3 linked regions of the Pelodiscus sinensis genome follow. The protein of the gene in region 2 purifies or fractionates together with the protein of the main gene of each other region. This does not show direct contact. Links are inferred from orthologs where the notes say so. Each region holds a gene or a part of one and is shown on either strand. Other genes may lie near its edges.

Region 1 (7,620 bases), on a different chromosome or scaffold from region 2:
ATAGACTTTGCCAATGTTTTATACTTTGTAGTGAGAAGGACTCTATTGCTCTTTCAGGATGCTTACTTAGATAGCAAATATGCCATGTAGTTTTTTTCATCTAAAGTCTGCTGCAAATCTTTTTTTCCCCCATGTGGATCTCACCCAGTGACTTCTGGGCTTATAACCTTACAACTCACTATTGCAACATGTTGTACTTAATTACCGTAAACTTCCGATAATCCGGCACCTTTAGGACCCGGGGGGGGGTGTCGGATTATCAGATATGCCAGACTATCGGAAGGGGGGGCTATGAGGGGTCTGGGGTAGGGTGGGAGGGATGCCACCCCAGACCCCTCATAGCCCCCCCTTCCGATAGTCTGGCTCTGCCCCAGGCGTCCCCGATTCAGCCGCTGCTGGTCAGTTTCAGCAGCAGCTGAATCCTGGACACCTGGAACAGAGCAGCTGGGGCGCTACCTGGTTGGTCCAAGGGGCGGCGCTACAGGACCAACCCGGCAGCACCCCAGCTGCTCTGCCCCAGGCATCCCCAAGTCAGCCGCTGCTGAAACTGACCAGCGGCTGATTCCAGGAAGCCCGGGGCAGAGCAGCTGTGCCCAGGGCTTCCTGGAGTCAGCCGCTGGTCAGTTTCAGCAGCGGCTGACTTGGGGATGCCTGGGGAAGAGCAGCTGGGGTGCTGCCAGGTTGGTCCCGCAGCTCCGAGGGGCAGCGCTACGGGACCAACCTGGCAGAACCCCAGCTGCTCTGCCCCCGGCTTCACCAATTCAGCTGCTGGTCAGTTTCAGCAGCGGCTGAATCAGGGAAGCCGGGCGCAGAGCAGCTCCAATTGTCCGGCAGCCAGAGCACTTCCGGGTTCCTGATGGTGCCAGACCATCAGGAGTGCCAGAGCATTGGGTGCCAGACCAATGGAGTTTTACTGTACCTTGAAACTTTAGGTAGGCAAAATGCTGGTCTTAAGTGGATTTAAATACAACTACCACATACAACCAGCACAATCTCTGTGCTTTATACTGGACACCAATTGGTTAACGAGAAGACTCTAGTGCACCTGTAAATAATCTATAAACTAAGACCCAATATTTTAGGACTTTCTCGACAGAAAAATACACTAAATTAGAAAATATTAACTCACTCAATGTACAACACAAACACCTATGAGGATACTCATGTTTAAAGTCAAAATAAGGTTAAACACAGCCATTAACCATTTTAAAAAAATACAATTATTCTTATAAAGTACTCAACGTAAGCAGAGTGCACACACTAACCCACTGCTTTTCGCCACCCCCCTAACCCGCCCCCACACACACAGTAGGTGAGCTCCTCCCTGGTCCCCCTTACAGAGCCATACCAACTTCACAGCCATGGAAAATATGTCAGTGACAATTAAATCTTTTCTCCCCCTCTCCCCCGCCACACATGGAGCAACTAGGAAATCTAATCTTGTGTGTTTTTACCCTATATACAATACAGATTTCATACGGGGGGTTATGAGAAGAGACCAGTGTTTTTCAAATTGGAGGTCCTGACCCAAAAGGAGGTTGCAGGGGATTGTAAGATTATTTGTGGAAGTAAGGGGTCATGGTATTGCCTCCCTTACTTTTCTGCCACCTTCAGAGCTGGGTGGCCAGAGACCCATGGCTGTTGGCTGGGCACCCAGTTCTGAAAGCAGTGCAGCTCCCCCTTGCCTCCCCCCCAGCACAAAAATAGGGGGGGACAATATCATCCCACCCCATCTTTAAGCAGTGCTGCCATCAGCAGCAGTGCAGAAGTAAGGGTAGCAGTATCATAAACCCCTTCCTTTACAATAACCTTGTGACAACCCCCCCCCAAAAAAAAAACTTTTTTGGGTCTGGATGCCTGCAATTATAACAGCCTAAAATTTCAGATTGAATTGCTGACATTATCAAGTCAATAACGTTTGAAACCCTATGACCATGAAATGAAACCAAACGACCCCTGAATTTGGTAGGGCCCTACCCAGAACTACGGTAGCCGGGTGACTCTCGGGCCACCTCCTAGACCAGACCTCGAGTCTAGGCTCACCCCCAGTGGAAGGCCTGTATCTCTGAAACTTCCTCCTGGCCTCAGCCTGCCAGGGCCCAAGCCTCAGGGAAACACAGGTCGGTGTCACGGGTTGAGCCTTAACGGGTGACGCTGACTGGTTAGGGCTAACCCGGGGGGCTAGAGCTGCCGCAGACGGGGGGCTTCTCCAGCCCCACAGGGACAGGCGCTGCTGCAGCACAGCCAATGTATCCCAGCGGGTGCAGCCTGTGGCAGAGGGAGGGGGGCAGGCGCCAGGAGCAGCCCCTGCCCACAGAGGGGAAGGGCGGCCTGGCGGGGGGGGGGGGGGGGCCGCAATCCAACAGGACCGCAGCGCCTCCCCCGCTCGCCTCTTTGCCATCTCGTCACGCGTTCGCCCAGGACACGGGATGTCGCATCGCTCCCCCCCCCCCCCCGGGCGGAGAGAGCGGGCTCGGCGGGGGGAACCTGCAGGACCCCCCCCCCCGCGGGCTGTGCAGGGGGAGGGGCCCCCCCCCCGCGGGCTGTGCAGGGGGAGGGGCCGCGCCCCCCCCCCCGCGCTCACCACACGAAGTCGTTGCTCTTGTCCTCGTAGGAGTTGAGGAGCCCGTTGCAGAGCGGGGTCAGCAGCGGCCTCTTCCGGCTGCCGCCGCCCGCCGCCGCGCCGCCGCCGCCGGGCCGGGCCGCCCCCGCCAGGCGCGAGAGGACGGAGGCCGCCGCCCCGCTGCCCGACACGGCGGCCGCCACCAGCACAGGCCGCGCGGGGCCCCCCAGCCCCGCGGACGAGGAGCAGGAGCCCGGCGCCGCCGCCGGCGCGGAGGAGGAGGAGGAGGAGGGCGACGTGGCGGCGGAGGCCGCGGCGCCCTGCCCGGCCGGGGGGTGCTGCGGCGACGGCTGCTGCCGGCTGCCTGACATGCCGAGGCCGGGCGGGGGGGGAGCCTCAGCGCATCCTGCGCGGCGCCGCCGCCGCCGCCGCCACGGGGCACAATAAAGTTTTGTTGAAAATCGGCGCCGCCCACCCGGCGGGGTGGGGGCCGCGCGTGCGCAGTCGGGCCGGCGCGCGCCTCTGCGGCCTTGTTCAATCTTTATTGACAGCCCCCCCCCCCTCCTCTGCGGGAGACAGCGGGCCTAGACGCGGGGCGAGGCGCGCTCAGCAGCCACTGCGCACGCGCGCGGTCGGCGGGGAAGAATGGGGTTTCGCCAGAGGGAGGGGGTGTGGACAGAGAGCGAGAAGGGCGGCGCATGCGCGGCTCGCAGAACGAGGACGCGTGAGAGCCCTTTACTCCCCAGCTGGCGCTGCGTTCTTTCCCCTCCCCCACATCCGGGCCTGGCTCCCATGGGCTGGGTGAGGGCCTGCCTGTTCCAGGCCAGGCACAAGGTCTAGCCCCCCCCACACACACTTGTGGGGCCGCCCCATGCCTGGCCTGCTGCTGGGACGGCCAAGGTGCAGGCAGGTCCCTGCCCTTGGCCAAGGGGGAGCTGCCCCACACGGCCCAGGGCGGGCACCAAGCTGGGACAGCGAGTCCGGCGAGCCGCACAGGGAGTCTGGCCCCAAGCTGCTCAGCACCCCACCTCCATCCACCCCATCCGCCACCGGCCCCGCCGAGTCCGGATGGCGGAGCAGCAGGGCCGGATTGGAGGGGAGGGGTGACTGTGCAACACCACTCGCTTAGATTTGGCCCAACCGCCCATTGTGACGGCGTGGTGACTGGGCTGATGGAGAGCAGCCGGGTCAAAGTTGAGTGAGCCACACTATGACGTGGCACAAGGGATCACAACACCACTCAGATTTGTGGCAACTACGGGACCCGTGTTAACGTGGTCTCCTCAACAATCGTGGCTCACTGTTTTCTTACAGCCTTATCCACACGTGGATGGGACAGATGGCAACTCGAGGACTCCTACAATCTGTACCCACCTTGCTTTGCAACTCTGAGCAAATCACTTGCAGCCTGATTTTCGGAGATGCCAGGCACTCACGGAGTAACAGTAGTTCGGACTAGGAAGCCTAGTCCGAACTACCTAGTCCGTGCCATGTGTAGCCGCACGGCATGGAGTCCGCACTAGCGGACATTTAAAAATGGCGGCGCCCGGCTTTATGCAAATGAAGCCCGGGAAATTCAAATCCCGAGCTTCATTTGCAACTCCAGTTGCCTAAATTACCACCCTAGTTCGAACTAGGGTGGTAGTGTAGACATACCCTTAGAGCTCTGCAGTGGTACATTTCTGTAACCTGTTCCTCTTCCCTTAGCACTGCACTACGTCCGTTACCCGCCTATCAGTTATTCCCTATCTCCTCTGCTGCTATGTCTATCCTAGTCTCTTCTCCCTACATTCTTTCCCACAGGTTTTGCCCCACATATTCCCCCACTTCTCCATCTCTGACCCTGATTCCTTGCCCTTTTAGTCTTTTTATAGTCTACAATCCCATTAATCACCATTTTCTTTCCTGTATCCCACATTCCAATGTATCTTTTTTCAGTCCTCCTCCTGCCCTTCTCCCACATTGTCAGGTTTACCCTCCCACTAGTACCCCCACCCAGATCTTGTTCATCTCAACACACTTGTTGAAATCCAGCATGAGGTGTCTGAGATTGGACACCCAAAACTGAAGCACACCATATTAGTGAAAATATGACTTGACTATATTTCTCTCTTGTGAAGAGAAACTAACCAGGATTATTCAGTTTCTCAGTACATCTAGTACTTCACCTGGTGCTAGCTACAAGGAGAAACTGACTAGAATTAATCTGTTTCACTTAGTTTCCTTTTGCAGCCATCTTCATGTGAAAATAAGCTGTTATAGGTTGAATCTTTTCATATCTACTCCTGTTGCTGCAAAACTGAAGATCAAGACAGACTGATAGCAACTAGTGGAATGCCTATAGCCTATCCTGCTCTCAGATATTTCCACTGATTCCAAAAAGTTACAGAGATTAAAAACAAAATAATATCTTTGAAGAATGTTATTGCAGTGAAATAAACTGATCCAAGCCAATGCACGTGTGGAAGTCCACACATTTCTGTACATGCCTTTGCAACACATGCATATAAATACCATGGTTGTGCGTAAAGACTGAACCCAGCACTGTCAGCATCAAAAAAGCAAGTCTGCCATTTGAGTTTAAGATTTTTTTTACCTACGTGCTGTACTTTCAGTTTGTCACAGGATATGAGGCAAGATAAATGAGGTAATAACTTTTATCCAACCACCTTCCATTGGTGTGAGAGACAAACTTTCGAGCCACACAGAGCCCAGACCTCAAAGCTTGTCTCTGTCACAGACAGAAGTTGGTCTAATAACAGGCATTACCTCATCCATCTTATCTCTCTATCTGCTGTTCTAACAGTGAAGTAGTAATGGATTATATGGTTGTGGGAACAGCCTCCAGACTGCGCTGTAATCAAACTCATTAGGCCAGAGTGCTCCACATGCATTTATGGTGATTGTATACACAAAAATTACCCTCCAAACTCCATGCTGGCACGTGTGATCATTTGCATTGTATACACCAGTGTTTCTCAACATTTTTTTATAAAGTTATAAGTACCCCCAGTACCTACAGTTTTCAGACAAACACATTTTTTTTCTACCATTGCAACACATTTGTTTAAACAACTTAATCATAGCTGGGTGGGTGATGAAATTTTTGGGTGTAAAAAGTACAAAAATAATAAAGCGCTGTAAAACTTACAACAAAAATTCAGTTTTCTCCAAATTTCAGTTGTGTTGATGTACCCCCCCCCCCCTCCCCAGACTAACCCTAACCCCCCTCCCCAGACTTCTCTCAAGTACCCCTAAGTGGTACATTTCTACCCTAAGGGTACTCAGACCACTGGTTGAGAAACACTGCTGTTTACAACTGCAGTAAACGTACACGCAGTTGAGAGAACACCTTTCCAGAAACACGCTTGGATTTCTGCCTCTTGCAGATTTGTCCTGTAGAGTCTCCTGTCTTCCACATTCACAATATTCTGTATTCCAGTCCCACCGTATGATAGTGGCAAGGTTACTTGTGTGTTGATTGTCCTGATCAGAAGATGATGTACTAAGAATACATTCCCAAAACAAAAAGGGAGACTCTCTATCATAGTCAAATATTACTGGGGCATCTTAATAATGAAAGGAAGGAAGGAAGCGTTTGCAGCTGAATGAACCTTAATAGAAATATATGTTTCTGCACTTTTGCACCCATCACTTCTCCTCGGCATAAATTGTATTTGTGACTTTTATGACACAGTCTCCATTTACCTACACTGTTCTGCCAGAGCTGTAATGAAGATGGCTAGCCCAACCATAGAAGTAACTGGGAACAATATGCCCTTCATCAGTCCTTCAGTGCAAGTGAGACTGGCACTTTTTCTAAATACAAGGAAGTGTTGGCTAGCTGTTTGACACTGAGGACTGGCCAGGGGCTTTCTGTCTCCTTCCTCCCCCACCCCCTGCCCCAGCCTCCCTGGCCACAGGGTCCTTTTCTCTCCTCCTAGCCCCATCCCCACCACCAAGGGCTTTCTACCTTCCCCCAACCCCCTGGCCGGCAGCAGCCTTTTGTCTCCCCCCAGCTCTCCCAGCCAGTACGGGCCTTCCCCACCCCACCTCCCAGCATTGGAGGCTGGGGGAGGGGCTACTTATCCAGTCTGGTGGCAGGCAAGATGGTGGAGCCCTAGTCCTATTGGCCACTCTACAGTATAGCTCTCCCCTGCATGCTCGCTGCCCCCAGTGGTCACTCTCAGTATCGCATCCCTCCTCTCTGCCCGCCCCCCTTTCCGTATTATGGAAAACAGTCCTATTCGCGGCACTTCCCATTTGCTCGGCACAGCCAAACCCTGACCTTGCTTTAAGTTAGGATAAGAGGAAGCTGTATGCATACCAAATTTGGTGGTCATAGGACTTACCGTTTAGGAGGAGTTCTTGAATAAATGAACTTGCAGACACACAGACAGACAGATTCACAGACAGACTCACAAATCTCTAATGTATAGATAGATAGATAGATAGATAGATAGATAGATAGATAGATAGATAGATAGATAGATAGAATAGAAGAGAGAGAGAGTTGTGATTTTTAATAGGACTTTTTAATAGCTCTATTTCCTCAATGGTAGGTAGTAGAGAACTAATGTGTCCCTTGGCTCTCAGTGGTCTGGTGAATTTTTTTTAAGTACAGTCTAACCTGCTCTTAAAAGTCTCCAGTGATGGAAATTCCACAGCCTCCCTAGGCAATTTATTTCAGTGCTTAAACACCCTGGGTACGTCTAGACTAAATGGCTCCCTCGACGAAGCCATGTAAAATAGTTTACTTGGCATAGTCAATGAAGCGGGGATTTAAATAATCCCCACTTCATTAAAATAAAAATGGCCGCCGCGCGGCGCCAACGATCAGCTGATCTGGCACAGTGTGGCAGTCTAGACGCGGCGCGGTTGACGAGGGAAGACTTTGTCAACCACTCCAGTATGCCTAGTGAAACGAGGTCTAGACGGCCGTGCTGTGCCGGATCAGCTGACCATCGGATCAGTGCAGCGGACATCTGGCTAACCACATCATGCCAGACCACAGATGTTGCCAGATGAGAGAGGTTCAACCTGTAGCAGCAAATTCT
Region 2 (7,876 bases):
GTTATGCTAAAAAAAGATAACACTAACGTTTCTTGACAGAAAGCATGGTTTACAGAGATCTGGAAGAAATTTTACCGAGTTTTGCTGGAAATCTTTTTTTGTCTGAATACTAGAAATAAAGAGCTCAGACTTAAAACCTTGCATTTTTTCCATATGCAAGATATTTTGGAAATTGCTTTTGAGCCGATGTGTAATAGAATAAGTGTGCAATTATGTGGTTACTAATAGTGTAATAAGAAAGGTAAAATATAAGTGTTGCTTTTATTACTTTTTAGTCTAGTTAGTTTAGCTAGTCTTTATCAGTTTGCTCTTCCCTGTCTGCTTCTTCATGTCTCCGAAGCTATTTGAGAATTTTAAATGCTGTATACTTAGAACTAGGGATGTAAAATGCTATTTCATTGGTTAACTGATTAAACAAATTGTTTAACTGGTTAACTGAGTAAAGGGAGGGGGCGTGCCCCAGCCCAGTTGGGGTGGAGCAGTCTTGCTACCCCAGTGCTGCTTCTCCTCTAGGGATGTAAGAGAGCAGTCAAATTCTTGACTACCCGATAAGCCTAGGCTGACTACTTGCATTCCCTCCTGCCCCTTGCAGCCTCTGTATGAGGGGCATCAAGGGGGGGAAGCAGGAACCATTGCTGGGAGGAGCTGATTTAAAAGCCCGTTCCCCCAGCACCGTCTCTCTGGTGAAGCCTTCCCCTCCCCTGTGCGGCTGCCTCTATCAGGTACAGCAGTGTGTGTGTAGTGGGGGGAAGGAGAGGTTGGCCGCAGTGGGCTCAGGCTCGCAGTGAGCAGAGGCTGCTCCAGCAGCAGTCCCTGTCTGCGAGGGGTAGAGGGTTGGGGGTGGCTGCTGGACCTGATGTGAAGACTGAGCAAGCTTGGCTCAGTCCCAGTTTGTAGTGGGTTTGGGACCTATCCTTGCTGCAGCTCTGCATTTTAAGTGTACAGATTGAGCCTCTCTAGTTCGGCACCCTTGGGACTTGACCAGTTCTGAACGAGAGGATTTTCTGGACTACAGGAAGTCAGTATTGTCTAGCAGCATTACCAACACTTCCACTGAGAGCTAGGACTGGTGGCTGTAAACAAACTTTATTGGACTGTGGGAAACTTGGCCACATCCATGAAAGGTGGACATCCAGCTAACTAAAATCATTCTGGACAACAGATGTTTCTGGATGAGAGAGTACTGGATTAGAGAGGTTCAACCTGTAGTAAAATGTGCACCTGGCTCTGACTATATTTAAAATGCAGAGCCATAGCTGTGGTAGGTCCTGGACCCGGCTCAAGTTGGGACTGAGCTGGGCTGCCTGCGCACCCAGCTCTTACTACATTTAAACTGCAAAGCTGCATTGGAAGTAGCTCTTACATCTGGCATGATCTGGGACTTAGCACCTTCCCCTATAGACTAATTGTGTAGTCAATACAATTACCTGCCTCTTAACATCCTGACTGTCCTCTCCTCCCCTGCTGCAGACAGTGGCTGCTCTGGACAGGCTGGAGTAGCCCCTGCCTGCAGGTGCCTGGGCCCACTGTGGATGGGGCTGCCATGGCAAGTGGGGAGCTGCTCTAGGCCACACTGTTTAACTAGTTAACCTTTCACATCCCTATTTAGAACCTGCTAGGTGATTTCATTTGGAGTTGAGAGTGCAAAGTAGCTTGCATGAGGTACTCAGTGTAGAAATGCCACTGCTAATTAAGGTGTTATGCAAGCTAAGAAACAGGGAGTGCCCTGGCTTCCGTGTAAATCTTGGTGAGATTAATAATGATGAACAGTTGCATTACAAAACTTCATTATAAATGCTTTGGAATTTATTCAGTCTATATGCAAACATTCCAATCATGCAAAAATTAAAGTAGCCTTGAAGTCTTGGTTTGCAGATGTGCCTCCAAAGACACTCATATGCAGAAAAGAACCTGGGAGAACTGAAAAACAGAGGTGGTGGATATCCTGTTTTGGAACCCAGTGAGACAGAAAGAGTTCATCTTATCAGAAGACGGGAGATACTAGTTTCCTGGTGGAAGCCTTTTGTGTGATCCCTGTGGCCAAATTATGCTCTCAGTTTTACTGGTTATATATTTAGGTACACTGAAATCATTCCAGGTTTATGGCTGTGTTATTGGGGGCAACATTTGGCCTGTTCTTCATGCTATTTGCATATTGTGTGAATACAGTAATTTCTTAACTGTAGCCCTCTAAAAAAGGGTAACCATGTCTAGCAAGGCTATGCTTACTAAGATGTAGCTGTATTACAGAAAATAAATGTCTTCCACAAAGCTCAAAGAAAATCCTCTTGGAATAGTTAGTGTCAAATTTCCCCCTTGTTTATACTCCAGTGAGAGAATAACAAGACTATTTGTATTGAATGAGGTCCCTAATTATTTTTTTCAAATGAGACTACAAATAATTGCTTTTTAAATTACTTATTTATATACTTGAGTATTTATATAATGTTGGAATTCCTTAATCTCTCTGAATTTCATATATTTATCATTTCTCCATGAGTATGTTTATTTTACCATTTGAATAAATGTTGCTTTTTATGCAGGTATCATTTTATACTGTGTATCATAGTTATAATTTTATTAAACATTAGGCCCTAGTAAATTGTACAGTATCAAGGTTGTTCAGTTCACTTTGCCTAGAAAAATAACCTAGCAGTTTGCATACTCAATGGGTTTGATCCTGTTTTCACTGAAGTCTATTAGAAATCTACCATTGGCTTCTATAGGAGCAGGATTGGAGCTCATCTGTATGTTTTCCTTTTTCTATCAGCTGTATAAAGAACAAAAGCATTTATGTCTAGTCTGACCCAATAAAATATTGATGGATACTTAAATTAATCTATTGTAACTTATTTAATCTATGATCTTTGTGCTAATTACCATGGTGGTGACTGTACATCCAGTTATCAGAACCATCACCAGATACGCTATAATTTGGTCCTAATCAAATATATAAAACATAACTGTCTTCACCAGAACCCATTCCCCCTTCCAGCAGCTGGGATCTTCATAGGAGGCCACTGTTGTTCCACTCCACCTCGACCTTCAGAAATGGCTCTTTAACTTTCCTTACCTTTGGTGCCAGGATCTCCTCCAGTGACACACTCCCTAACCAGTGTCAGTGTTCAGTCTTCAAGAAACGGATCTTTTTCCACCCTGCAATACATGGGGCCTTATTTGGAATTCAGAGGGGAGAGAAGGATAGCTTTTGTTCTGTTAATTTTTAAGACTATTTTGTAGTTTCAAAATACTCTGTGTTGAATAATGTTAATAATTACTTCTCCTTTCTTTTTGATGGACTATTTTTTGAGTGTGGGGAATAACACCCAGGAAAGTAGTGTTAAGGCTGCAAGTAACAAACAAGCAATGCTTCTGAAAGCATAATGAAGGCTTTGTTGTGCAATAGCTAGTAAAATTTTTATAGTGGTACATAAGACAACATTTCAATTCATGTATCAGGATGTAGTCAGATGTTAGTAATTAACAAGGAAAAATAATGTGGAACCATTACAGTGCAGTAGGTTTGTGATCAATTTAGGATGTATTTATCTGCTAATTTTACAAAATTACATAAAAATGTAAAATAGAAGCCTTCCTTTTTGAGAACTTAAGGTCTCTGTCCAATGTATCTTACTGTGAAATCTCAACCCTAGCATCAGAGAAATATAAGAATTGTCATACCTGATCAGACCGGTATTCCTACCCATCCGGTATCCAGTTTCTGATAGCTGTCATTGCCAGATGCTTCACAGGAAAGTGTAAAGAAAGATTGAAGAGTTATGGAATAACCTGCTCACAGGGAAAGACTTTTCCTAATACCTCTCATGCAGAAGTTGGCTTATGTTCTGAAGCATGATGATTTATATTGTAAATCATATAATGGATATCAATAGAGGGCCTATTGCTAAAATTGGTTTGATAATTACTGATTTGGGTTTGAGCATGGGTTCATTAGCATCTAGAGCAGAGATTTCCCACCAGGGAAGTGCTGTTCTCCATTCTGTATGCAAATAAAGATGTCTGTCTGTCCTCTCCTGTCTTCCATGCTGTTGTATAGGGGTGTTTACTTAATCCTATCACCCTTGTCTAGAGGGTTTAGGTGTGTCTTCCTCTGTCTTTGTCTTTGGTTCAAGCAGAGGGCTGGAGTGAGGTGGGTGTCCTCCATGAGCACCACACCCTGGTTCCCCAAGAACACAGAGCTTGTAGGTAACAGAAGTCTACTGTCAGGACAGCACTTATGCAAGTGTGCAGGGCAATAAATCATATTTTGCTGTGTAGGACTGGGAGTCTGAGAAATGTGGATGACATAAATAGTGGTTGACTTTGCTGAAATGGTCTTTCTAAACTGGCGGGGCAATTGGCACATGTATTCCCATTATAGCGCCACCCCGCCTGCCACAGACTACATCAATCGGAAGGGTACTTCTTCATGAAGCTTCAGGCACCTGTGGATCACTGTAGGCATTTCACAGATATAAATATGGGGTGGTTGGAGAAGTGCACGATGCATGCGTTTTCAGGAACAGTGGCTGTACAGAAAGCCTCAGGCTGACTTTCTTTCCATAACAGAAAATTAGTGGAGGAAGTGGAAATGATCCTAGGTAACCCCAACTTACCCCTTACAGACCTGGCTCATAAAGCCTTACAAGGGGCACTTCAACAGTAGTAAGAAGCGGTTCAGCAACAGGCTAAGCTGATGCCACATTGCTGAATGTGCCTGTGGGAGACTGAAAGGGAAATGGAGGTGTCTCAGTGGACTTTTTGGAGGATCATATCCCCAAGATGGTGGCTGCATGCTGTTGCTCATATAATTTGTATGAGAGTTAGGGTGAAGTGTTTGCCTGTGGGTGGAACAGTGAGAGACAGCACCCAGATGCACAGTTTGAACAGCCAGACAATCATGCTGTCGGAGGAGCCCGTAAGATGGCTTATCAATATCAGGGAGGCTTTGAGGAACTACTTTGACAATAAGGGGCGCTGACATTTCTGTGTGTTGGGGTTGTATCCCTGCTTCATTCCACTGCTTATCCTGAAGAAGGCATTCCCATGAAACCCAGGGATTTTACAGGCTTCAGCCGGGGCCAGAGCAATTTCATAGAGGGATAAGGGATCTTTCGTAAAAGGCTTTATTTTCCGCAAGATCAGTGTCTAGACTGGCGCTTTTTTCTGGCAAAGCTCTGTGCCGAAAAAAAAGCGGCAGCCATTTTTATGCTAATGAAGCAGGGGAGATTTAAATTCCTGCTTCATTAGCAATTGCAATACGTCTAATTTACATCTCTTTTACGAAAAAGGGATGTAGTCTAGACGTAGCCAACCCGTCATGCTGTCAACTTCGACCTGGTCCTGAACCTAGGTTGGTATGCACTTTATTTGTGGGGAAGCGGTTGGTACCAAGATGTTTCTTAGCCAGGCATTCTGTTACAACTTCTCTGGAATGTGTTTGCAGCCTGTGCCTGGTACCTTTTGGCATTCTTTATGCTTGACCTGGCTTATATTATTTTTCTTTAGCCAAGCCTCTTTCCTGCCTCCGGTTTCACTGAGCCAAAGTCTTGTTCACTAGATTTCAGGCCTGCTGTTTTTATGTTACAGGCCTTTAACTTACTACAGGCCTAAGTGACTTGGCTATGATTGTCTATTAAGTCATCAAGAGAGCCAGGAACTTAACTGAAATTTCCTTCATGCCTACTTGGTACCAACTACAAGGCCACCCTCCCAAGTCTCCTCTTGTACGTGTGTTGATGGAGCCCTTTTTGCAGGAAAAGTTGGCCTTCTCCAATAACTTTTTTTCTCAAACCAATCTGCATGATATCTGACTCTGGTCTATTTTAGTGTGTGTGTTTTAAATTTTCCCAGTTTGAAGTGAATCAGATTGTTTTACAGATTTCTCACTTGAAAATAATTCAGACTTGTTATTTTGGAATTTCTCAAGAACTGCTTCTCTGAGAAACCACACCAAGGGTTAGTCTTCAATGAAAGTGAGTTCCTTTTGAATCTCCCCCCCCCCCCCCGCCCCCTGCCCCATAGTAGTCAGAAAACTCTTAGTTGCAATTCATTCAGCTTCATCCTCATGAAGCTATGGGAGAGAGAAGGCATAATTTGCTGTCATGTGCAGCAGGTAGTAGAATGTTCCCTAAGGAAACATGGATTTCAGTACAAGCATGGAGGACTTGGGTATTTGTCTTATGGTATAGATATTGACACTACCAACCTGTTTGCCACATAGTAGGATTTAGAGCAGGGATGGGCAAATTCCAGCCTGCAGGTTTAGTTCCTGGTGGGCCCCAACCTCCATATTTACCTGTGCTTCGACAGGTATCCACGGATTACTGTCCACAGACAATGAGAGCACCAGGAAGCACTGTCCCAGTCTGCCTCTCCCCCAGCCGCCTTTCAGTTGACTGAAATAGGCAATCTGTGGCCCACCCCTGATTTTGGTGCCATGGCCTCATTTCCCCTCCACTGTACCCTCCCCCCCAAATTTGTCCTTTCTCTCCTTTGCCATCTGAGGGTACGTCCAGACTACATGCCTCCGTCGACGGAGGCATGTAGATTAGCCAGATCAGCAGAGGGAAATGAAGCCGCGATTAAAATAATCGCGGCTTCATTTAAATTTAAATGGCTGCCCCGCTCTGCCGATCAGCTGTTTGTCGGCAGATCGGGGCAGTCTGGACGTTCCCGTCGCCAGAAAACCCTTTTGTCGACCGCCCCGTTATGCCTCATCCCACGAGGCATAACGGGGCGGTCGACAAAAGGGTTTTCTGGCGACAGGGGAACGTCCAGACTGCCCCGATCTGCCGACAAACAGCTGATCGGCAGAGCGGGGCAGCCATTTAAATTTAAATGAAGCCGCGATTATTTTAATCGCGGCTTCATTTCCCTCTGCCGATCTGGCTAATCTACATGCTTCCGTCGATGGAGGCATGTAGTCTGGACGTACCCTAAGTTAGAAGATAGCATTGGGGCATGTTGACTTCTTAAACGTGCTTTTCAGTCTCTAAGTGGCAGAGCCTGAGTCCACGCACTTCAGGAAGTAACTCCTTCGCAGCGGGGAGGAATAGCTGACTGGTGTGAGCATGGGCCTGCTAAAACCACAGTTGCGAGCACAAACCTTAAGGGGGCTATTTAGGGAATCGGGGGCAAACTCTGCCAGGGATGGTTCTCGGTCCTGCAGTGAGGGCAGGGGACTGGTCCCTTCCAGCGCTATGAGACGGCTAGGTATAGCTCCATAGACCAGCACTGTAACCAGGGTTCCCCACAGCCAGCCCGAGGAAAGGTGCGGGCTTGCCAGACAGAGGGAGCGGGGCTTGCAGGGGTTGCGACGCGCACGCGCGTGTCGCGAGGGGCTGTGTCCCGCCTCGGCGCGCGGAGAGCCAGGGGGACGCTCGGGCTCTGTGCCCGGCTGAGCGAAGGCGGGACGGGCCCCGCGCGGGAATCGGAGATTTGCGTCACGGGGCGGCAGACCTGCCGGCGAGGGGGTGCCGCGCGTTGGCCGCCGGGAGTTGTAGTGCGCGCCCCAACCCCCCTCCGGCCGCTCGTCACGCGCCTTTTTTTTTTTTTTTTTTTTTTTTTTTTTGCGATGGTGCCGTGCGACAATGCCGTAAAGTAGGCCAGCTTCCGGCTGAGGCGGACGGAAGGTCCGGAGCCGCGTGTGAAGAACCTAGGGAGCCCGTGGATGCCAGTTCCGCCTCCAGCCCCTCCGTCCGCGCGGCCCCCAGGGACCCGCCCGCCGCCTGCGGCCGGCACCCAGCGCCCCCAAGATGTTCAAAAAGTAGGTGAGGGGGGCGTGTTCCCCGGCGGGCGGGGATGGGCGGGGGGCGCCCCTCGTGGGGCCGGGCCCTGCCCTCCTTGGCGGCGCTGAGCCCTGCGGATTCCGGGG
Region 3 (7,686 bases), on a different chromosome or scaffold from region 2:
CACCTCTGCTCTATGCCTCTATTATGGGACCTTCCTAATGCAGAACAGTGGATTGACCTAGTCTCTTACTGGTGATTAGTGTTTGCCTGGATGAGGGCTAACTGGCTGAATCTCAATCCAGATAAGATGGAGATAATGTCTGCAGATTTGAGAAGTAGCCAGGAAGAGCTGGAAAGATTCTTGCTGAGAATATGGCAACCATTTGCTATGGGCTGTCCACAGTTTAGGCATCTGGCTAGATATTCAGATACCAGCTGTAGCCAGACAAGTTTTTCCCCATCTGTTCCTGGTAAGCCTAGAACCACTGTACCTTCCAGATGCAGACTTTGCAACATTTATTTATTCATGCCTTTACCACTTTTAAGACTAGGCCACTATGTTGTTTCCTTCTTGGGGCTGGATCTTGAAATTGCCTGAAAACTGGAGCTAGTGCTGAATATAGGAACCCATTTGCTTACTACAGCTTCATGTCAAGAAAAATCATGAGATACTCAAGTAAGGTCACTGATTGCCTCACAGGGTCTAGATTAGGGACAGCAGAGACCATGTTTAGTAATCACGTCTCCATAAATTGCAATGGTTACACGATTACTAAAATACTCTTAGGGGCAGCCAGTGTGCCCTGCCTCACTCCCAGAGAGCCTCCATCACCCTGTGCTGCTGCCTCTGCATTACAAATAAAACAACAGCAGCAGCATTTGCTCCAGTACAAAAGAAATACATGCCTGGTTATGAGATTATGATACCAGCTTGAATATCTCCCAACTCCAAGCAAGTGTACAAAGATACATAGCATTTAACACTTGCACCACTAAAATGATTTTTAATGCCATAGTAAAGTTCTAATCCTGTGCCAATTATACAGTTCATAACCTGTCAAGCAATTCCATTGCTCCCTCAATCCAAGGAATTTAATGAAGTGTTCTTGTGGCACTTAAGTACTGGGAGCTCTCAGCCTTCAGCTTTAAGTTTCTCCAATGCAGCCAAGTCAGTGAGTTTTATAAAAGGAGAGATGTAGTTAGCAGAGAAATCCTAACCTAGTATTCTGGGAAACTGCACAGGTGTAGTCACATTTAATCAAACTTTTTACAAAAGCACTGACAAAAATACAACTAATACGATGCATAAAATGAAGGTGTACAAACATCTAAAGTGAATGCACAGGAAGGTGTCATTGCATTATACATATGATCATTTACTTAAATGTGTATAGCATGAGTATCTGCTATAGTAAGCACACAAAAAAAAGCACAACTCAGACCCTGAACAAGTTACCCACGTTAAATGATTTGCGGAAAACAAACTCATTTTCAAGAGGCCATGGAAAGGTTAAATTAATAGGTTAACAAAATATAAAGAAAAGTAAAAGCTGTTGAAAAGTCATTTTACTCAGACTGGACAATATACTGGACAGTTGGAAAGTGCTTAAATACAAATACTCTTCGTTTCCACTGAAATAATCTTTTGTCCCAAACCCCACCCAACATCAAGAACGTAAAGGGTAGAGGTCGCTTCTCATTAGCCAAGACTCTGTCAAACCCGTGAACCTTCTTTGCTGGTATTTCTACTAGGGGAGAGGAAGGGAGCATTGCCATAAAGCAGTGGTCTCCAACCTTTTTACACCCAAGATCACTTTTTAAGTCTCAGAACAGGCGAAGATCTACTGCCCCGCCCCTTCCTTGAAGCCCCACCTACATTACATGAGGAAATCTAATGTAAATGTACTGCGCAGGTGCGCAGTTCAGAGAGGGCTCAAGAACTACTCTTAGAGCCCCTGAGATCTACCGGTAGATCGCGATCTACTGGTTGGTGACCACGGCCATAAAATATACAGACAGAGAACTTGTTTCGAGTCCCATTGATTCACATTTTCCTCCAAAATAAATGCTACTTTCTTTATATTAACAACAGCTAGTAGTCTGGCACCCATGCACTGCTTTCCAAGACTGCAGAACATACAGCATAAGCAAGAAACAGACTTCATTCCCTATAGTCCTTGAAACTAACAGAGAAACCAGAGATTTCAGTCATGGTCAGTAGTATTTTAATAGAACACAAAGACTGGCCCGCTACTCAACAGGTGAGGAACCAGATCTTACTCAGCACTAAAGCCACTAGGTCATGCATGCCACTGAATCAAAAATAAGCTTAATATTTTGGGTTATATCCTAACTCCATGCCAAGTTCCATTTCTCTTCAGAATGGAGAGCTACTTAGGGATGTAAAATCCTGTTTAACTGGTTGAGTGGAGCGAACTCCTGCAGGTTAATGCAGTTGGGAAGCCTGTGAAGGCCGAGGTTTACCAGTTCACCACTAGCATCCCTGCCTTCCATTCCCACCACTAATCCAAATGCAAGCTCAGAACAGCGCTTGGACGCTGCCCCTCTCCTGCTTGTTTCACGCTAACACCGCGGCGGCGGGGGAAGGAGTCACAAAAGGGGCGCGCACTCCCCGTGCCCAGCGCTGCCGCGGGCCGTGCCGGGGGGGCAGGCAGGGGGGAGCCAAAGCCTGCAGGGCCCAAGCGGCCGGGGCTGGCGGCGCCGAGCAGGAGCCCGGCCAAGTGCTGCCGCTCAGCACGTCTGACCCCCCCGCAGATAAGGCCTGGCGGAGCCCTCGCGCCCCGAACAGCAGAGACCGGGCGGATCTTTCGGGGGGGGACACGAGCGCCCCGCCCCCCCGCCAGGCAGGCGCCTGCCCTTCCCCCGGGCGGGGGCGGGGGGGAGTCACGCGGAGTTTCGCCGCGCGGGGGGGAGCCGAGCCCGGGGGCGGGGCCGGGCCGAGCCCGCAGCCCGGGCTGGGGGCGGGAAGCGCCGCGCGCCCCGGGACAGGCCGCCCCGCCCCGCGGTACCTGCGCCCCCCGGGTCAGGCCCCGGCCGCTGAGCTGCCCGCGCCGCAGCTGGGCCAGGATGTTGGCCGCCCCCCTGCGGGCTCCCGGCCCCGGGGCCCCCGCCGCCGCCATGGCCGCTCCGCCTCGGACGCAGACAAACAGGAAGAGGCGCCCCCTCCCCCAGCGCTTTGTACGGAGCGGCGCAGGGGCCATCCCGCAGCGCCCCCCGCCGGGCCCCGGCCGCACTGCGGGGCGGGGGAGCCGCCCGGGGGCCGCTGGGAGTTGTAGTCCTGCGCGGGGCGGCCGGAGGCCCCCTTCTTAAAGAGACAGCGCCCTATTGGCGCCCTCGCGCGGGGGGCTGCGCACGTCACCGGGGCCCGCGGACACGTGTTCATTGCTCCTACAATCGAGGGGAAAATGAACTGTCAGGGTGGGGGAAAATGTTTTAATTTTTTTCTCACATCAGAAAAAAAAGAAACTTCTGGGGCCCACGGAATCGGTTCCGTGGGGCCGGAAACGGAAGAGTCGCTGCTGCACGTTAGATACAGATAATGTTGAATGTCGATATTTCAGGGCTCGCCGAGCTGCAGTAGGAATAAGAGATCCTCCGGCAAAGGGCTTTATTCCGGAGGATCGCGCCAGTCTGGACGCTCTTTTCCGGCTTTTCCCCAAGCTGGAAAAAAGCGGCGGCCATGTTTATTTAAATCCCCCGCGGATTTCCCTATTCCAAAGTTAGAAATTAGCATGCCTCTTCTGAAGAAGGGCCAGTGTAGACACAGCCTATTTGTCCAGCCTTGGATATTATTATGGTGCAAACGTGCCTAGGGCCCACGAAAGTCATAATGCAGCCCTGCTCCCGTCGGCCCTTGACATGCTCCCCCCTCGCTGTCCTCTCCCTGCTGTGCCTGTTCACCCTCCCCCAGCTGGGACTCAGAGCCCTGCGCCTCTGCGGTACCTTGAAGGCCTGAGACCCTTAAATGCTCGGAATAGAGAAAAGTTCCCCGAAAACCCCAGTCTGTGTGCTCCAGTCACCCAGCCATTCACAAAGAGCAGAGACTGGATCTCTGCAGCCATCGTTTCCCCATTTCATTTGTCACATGAAGAGAACATTCCCTCTGAGAAAGGAGGAGACATGCAAAACAAGCCCTGCCTAGTGGTTAGGGCACTGCGTCTTGGGAGACCCACGTTTAACTCCCTGCTCTGCCACAGACTTCCCATGTGACATTGGGTGCTTTACTTGGGCACCGTGCCTCAGTCCCCCTTCTATATAATAAGAATTATAGCAAAATGTGGCAGAGAGGAAAAATAAACTAAAGATTGCGATGTGCTTTGAGATCTACTGGTGAGAAATACTACATAGGAGCCAGGCGTTATTACTTGCCTGTAATGTCAGTGATGCTTGGGCTGGAAAAGATCATGAGGCCATTACTCTTCCCTAGTCAGTGGTGGTTTGAACAGTGAGCTGAGTCACTGTCCCATGTAGCGGCACTTAGACCACTGACAGCGAGAGACAAGAACAAGGGAGCGCTGCAGCCACAGCTGAGAGCCAGCTGGCTTTGTAGCTCAAGCTCTAGAGCAGGGGTGGGGAACCTGAGATCCAGGGGGCTGCTTGGATCCAGCCCCTGGGGCTCACGGACCCTCACAGGATTGGGGAGTCTGCAATGGTGCTCCAATGCCCCCACTTCTTCTCTGCTTCTCCACCAAGGGGCTGGAGCCCCCCAAATCTACTAGGCTGAGCCCCCCTAGGCTCTGGTGTGTGAGGGGAATGTAGGGAGAGTCTTTTCCCTCAGTCGGGGGCCATGGCAGTGAGGGGTTTCTTGTTTGCTTCTCACTTGTGTGCAGCCCACCCTTTGATTTGTCTGTGGGTCCAGACATCCCGGCTACGTCTACACTGGCCCCTTTTCCGGAAGGGGCATGTAAATTTCACTAGTCGTCGTAGGGAAATCCGCGGGGGATTTAAATATCCCCCGCGGCATTTAAATAAAAATGTCCGCCGCTTTTTTCCGGCTTTTAAAAAAGCCGGAAAAGAGCGTCTACACTGGCCCCGATCCTCCGGAAAAAGTGCCCTTTTCCAGAGGGTCTTATTCCTACTTCAAAGGAATAAGACCCTCCGGAAAAGGGCACTTTTTCCGGAGGATCGGGGCCAGTGTAGACGCTCTTTTCCGGCTTTTTTAAAAGCCGGAAAAAAGCGGCGGACATTTTTATTTAAATGCCGCGGGGGATATTTAAATCCCCCGCGGATTTCCCTACGACGACTAGTGAAATTTACATGCCCCTTCCGGAAAAGGGGCCAGTGTAGACGTAGCCCTCAGGTTTCAGTAGTAGTTACATAATGCATGGGGGAGGGGCAATACCCTTTTCTGGGCATTCCAGCCATTCAGTTAACTAATGTCTTTTCTCAGGGGTTAACTCCAGACCTAACCCTAATTGTCTTGCCTGTAAGGGTTAAAACCACAGACAGTGGGTCCTAGTGAGTCTCCAGGAATGCTGGGGAAGCAGGAAGTGAATTGGCAGGAAGCCAGAAGAGCCAAAGGAAAGCGAATGTGAGCGCTTGAATTGGAAGAAGCAACCTTCCTGTGCAACGCCTGGGAGACAGGAGTTAAGGCAGGAAAACAGAGCTGGAGGATTCAGCGACATCCATGCCTAGGAAAGGGTTAAGTCTTGACACTACAGAGATGTGAGTAGAACAGGGAATGTTTAGTCAGACACAATCAGGTGATTTCTTTATTTTCGGGTTTGTTGGACTTCTCTGTGCTGAGCACATATAACCCCCCTTACACTGCAATTTTCCAAACTGAATCTCAGGGAAGCACTTCTCTGTATTTTAATCCCCTTTTTTTAAGTAACACCCAGCAACCAGGCAATGTTTCACCAAGTGTGTTTGCTTTTTTGTTCTCGTTGTTATTAAAAATCACCATTGTAAGACCATGATCTGATCCCTGTGTCCTAGGAGGTTCTGCGTGCCTGTGATGTGCCTAAGACTGCAAGCTGGACTACTAGGAGAAATTAGTTTTCCAAGCTCTCTCCAGTGTGAAGGTTAAAGAGCTTGCAGGTATCCACAAACAGGAATTCCCAAGGGTGCTCTCCTGGCTACTCAAAGAGGTTTTGCAATACGCAGCCCAGGCCCAGGGTATGTGACCTTGGGGTTTTGAAGCAGAAGCCTTTAGAGGCAGGGTATTTTAAAGTTACCTGAGGGCCCTCACCTTCTGCAATCAGATTGACAGAGTAGGGAACAGCCTTGACGGGTATCGTGGAAAAAACGACATCATCACGCAGCCAGAGCCTGTTGCATGAGGCCTGCCACAAAGGGCAGAACTATAGGAAGGTTGCGCAGAACCTTCGTTTTGGAATGAGTGTTTCACCAACCTGACATGTTTTAAAAGAGGGTTGTGTAGTAGCAACATCGCTGTAGAGGCGAGAATGACGCTCGTTACTACGCTATCAGAGCACCTACATCTCCCCTTGCCAGGCATCTGCCGAACTCCAGCAAGCAGAGCTGTTTTCACACTCCCCAACTCCTCTTACATGTCTGGGGAGCTAAAAGAAACCAGGAGGGGGGTGGGAGAAGGTACTTCTGGGGCAGGGAGAACTGGAAATGGCAACAGCTTTGTGACTCTGCAACACAACGGTCCATAGAAAGGATGGTAAGGTTTTCTGGAGGGCTCTGAACATAGATGCAGGATGCTTTCCAATGCCAGAGACATGGGCTCAACCCGTGTTTGGGAAACAGTAGTAAGGCATGTCATGCATCGCTGGGCCTGGGATTGCTCTGATAGGATGTCTGGTCTGGATACCTCGCCTAGGCACACAGAGACTCTCATTCAGTAATAGACAGACCTGAGGGGCTGCCCAAACCCTGCGACCCCACCCCCACTCCAGTACAGGCTGCCAAGGGGTAACAGCGTTCACTGCCCCACCTGTGAGAGCCACGGCTGCTGCTCTGGCAGCTGGAAAAGAGGATGCTCATGGAAGCAAAGACTGAAGCCCACCTGCCCCTCTCACATTTGGGCTGCCCCTGCTACTTTCTGGAATGACTTCAGGGTAGCCAAGGGTTGCAATGCCTGGGTAGATCCGAGTTTCCTCTCTATAATGTCTAATGAACGTGATCCAGTATATAGCTCTGAAGTCCCCACACCCTGACTGCTGCCGCCAGCAGATGCAGTCATAGGTCCAATGGGCCAAATTTGGCCTGAGAGAGGTCACATCCCATGTCCACACCTGCATCACAAATGCCACGCCAGCAGGCTGCGTTTGACCTACAGAGTAGCAGCCTTCTTGCTGCGTGACCGCCCATATACAGGGTGGCCTTGCACGGATGGTGCATTTCTCCAAGACCTTCTATTCTCTCTTCCTGCATGAGCACTTGGGGACCGGTTATGCCTGTTCCACACGGAAGTGAAAGAGCTCTCAGGCTGAAAAGTGCTGGGATGGTTTTCTGAACTGAGACACATGCTGTGCACCCGTGCAAGCACCTGTTGATTTTCTGCATTCCCAAAGGAAGAGGGGCCTTCGTGCCTGTGTCAGATGTATTCGGGAGTTTGAATGAACAGAGTCCAGGCCTGCAAGGGCACCTCTATAGCAGAGTGACTCTAAATCACAGGACTCCAAGGCTATGTCTACACTCGCGGCTTCTTGCGTGAGTAATATGCAAATGAGGCTAAGCGTGGCATATCGCCGAGCCTCATTTGCATACCTAATGAGCCACCATTTTTTTCAGAAGAGGCTCTTGCGCAAGGAGCGTCTACACTGCCCCTTCTTGCGCAAGAAAAGCCCTCTTGCGCATGCCGTTACACCTAGTACTTTTCAGGAAGAACGGCGTTGAGCAAGAGGGTTTTTCTTGCGCAAGAAGGGGCAGTGTA

What was found. The genes of interacting proteins can lie anywhere in the genome.
Region 1: the proteins of CUL4B (region 2) and COP1 purify together in Homo sapiens (affinity purification with western blotting; 4 studies listed by BioGRID and IntAct, with this or other methods). This does not show direct contact. The link is inferred for Pelodiscus sinensis from reciprocal best matches to the Homo sapiens genes CUL4B and COP1.
Region 3: the proteins of CUL4B (region 2) and TRPC4AP purify together in Homo sapiens (affinity purification with mass spectrometry; 4 studies listed by BioGRID and IntAct, counting the BioPlex papers as one, with this or other methods). This does not show direct contact. The link is inferred for Pelodiscus sinensis from reciprocal best matches to the Homo sapiens genes CUL4B and TRPC4AP.

The regions. Positions count from the first base shown.
Region 1 is NC_134719.1:61,208,510-61,216,129, reverse strand, and holds the start of COP1 (E3 ubiquitin-protein ligase COP1), read right to left. Parts: upstream 3,007-7,620; 5' UTR 2,935-3,006; coding exon 2,585-2,934; intron 1-2,584. UniProt on the Homo sapiens protein: E3 ubiquitin-protein ligase that mediates ubiquitination and subsequent proteasomal degradation of target proteins.
Region 2 is NC_134723.1:33,772,551-33,780,426, reverse strand, and holds the start of CUL4B (cullin-4B), read right to left. Parts: upstream 3,017-7,876; 5' UTR 2,900-3,016; coding exon 2,881-2,899; intron 1-2,880. Other genes in the region: MCTS1 (malignant T-cell-amplified sequence 1), read left to right, coding at 7,758-7,768.
Region 3 is NC_134728.1:33,288,655-33,296,340, forward strand, and holds the start of TRPC4AP (short transient receptor potential channel 4-associated protein), read right to left. Parts: upstream 3,007-7,686; 5' UTR 2,960-3,006; coding exon 2,849-2,959; intron 1-2,848. UniProt on the Homo sapiens protein: Substrate-recognition component of a DCX (DDB1-CUL4-X-box) E3 ubiquitin-protein ligase complex required for cell cycle control.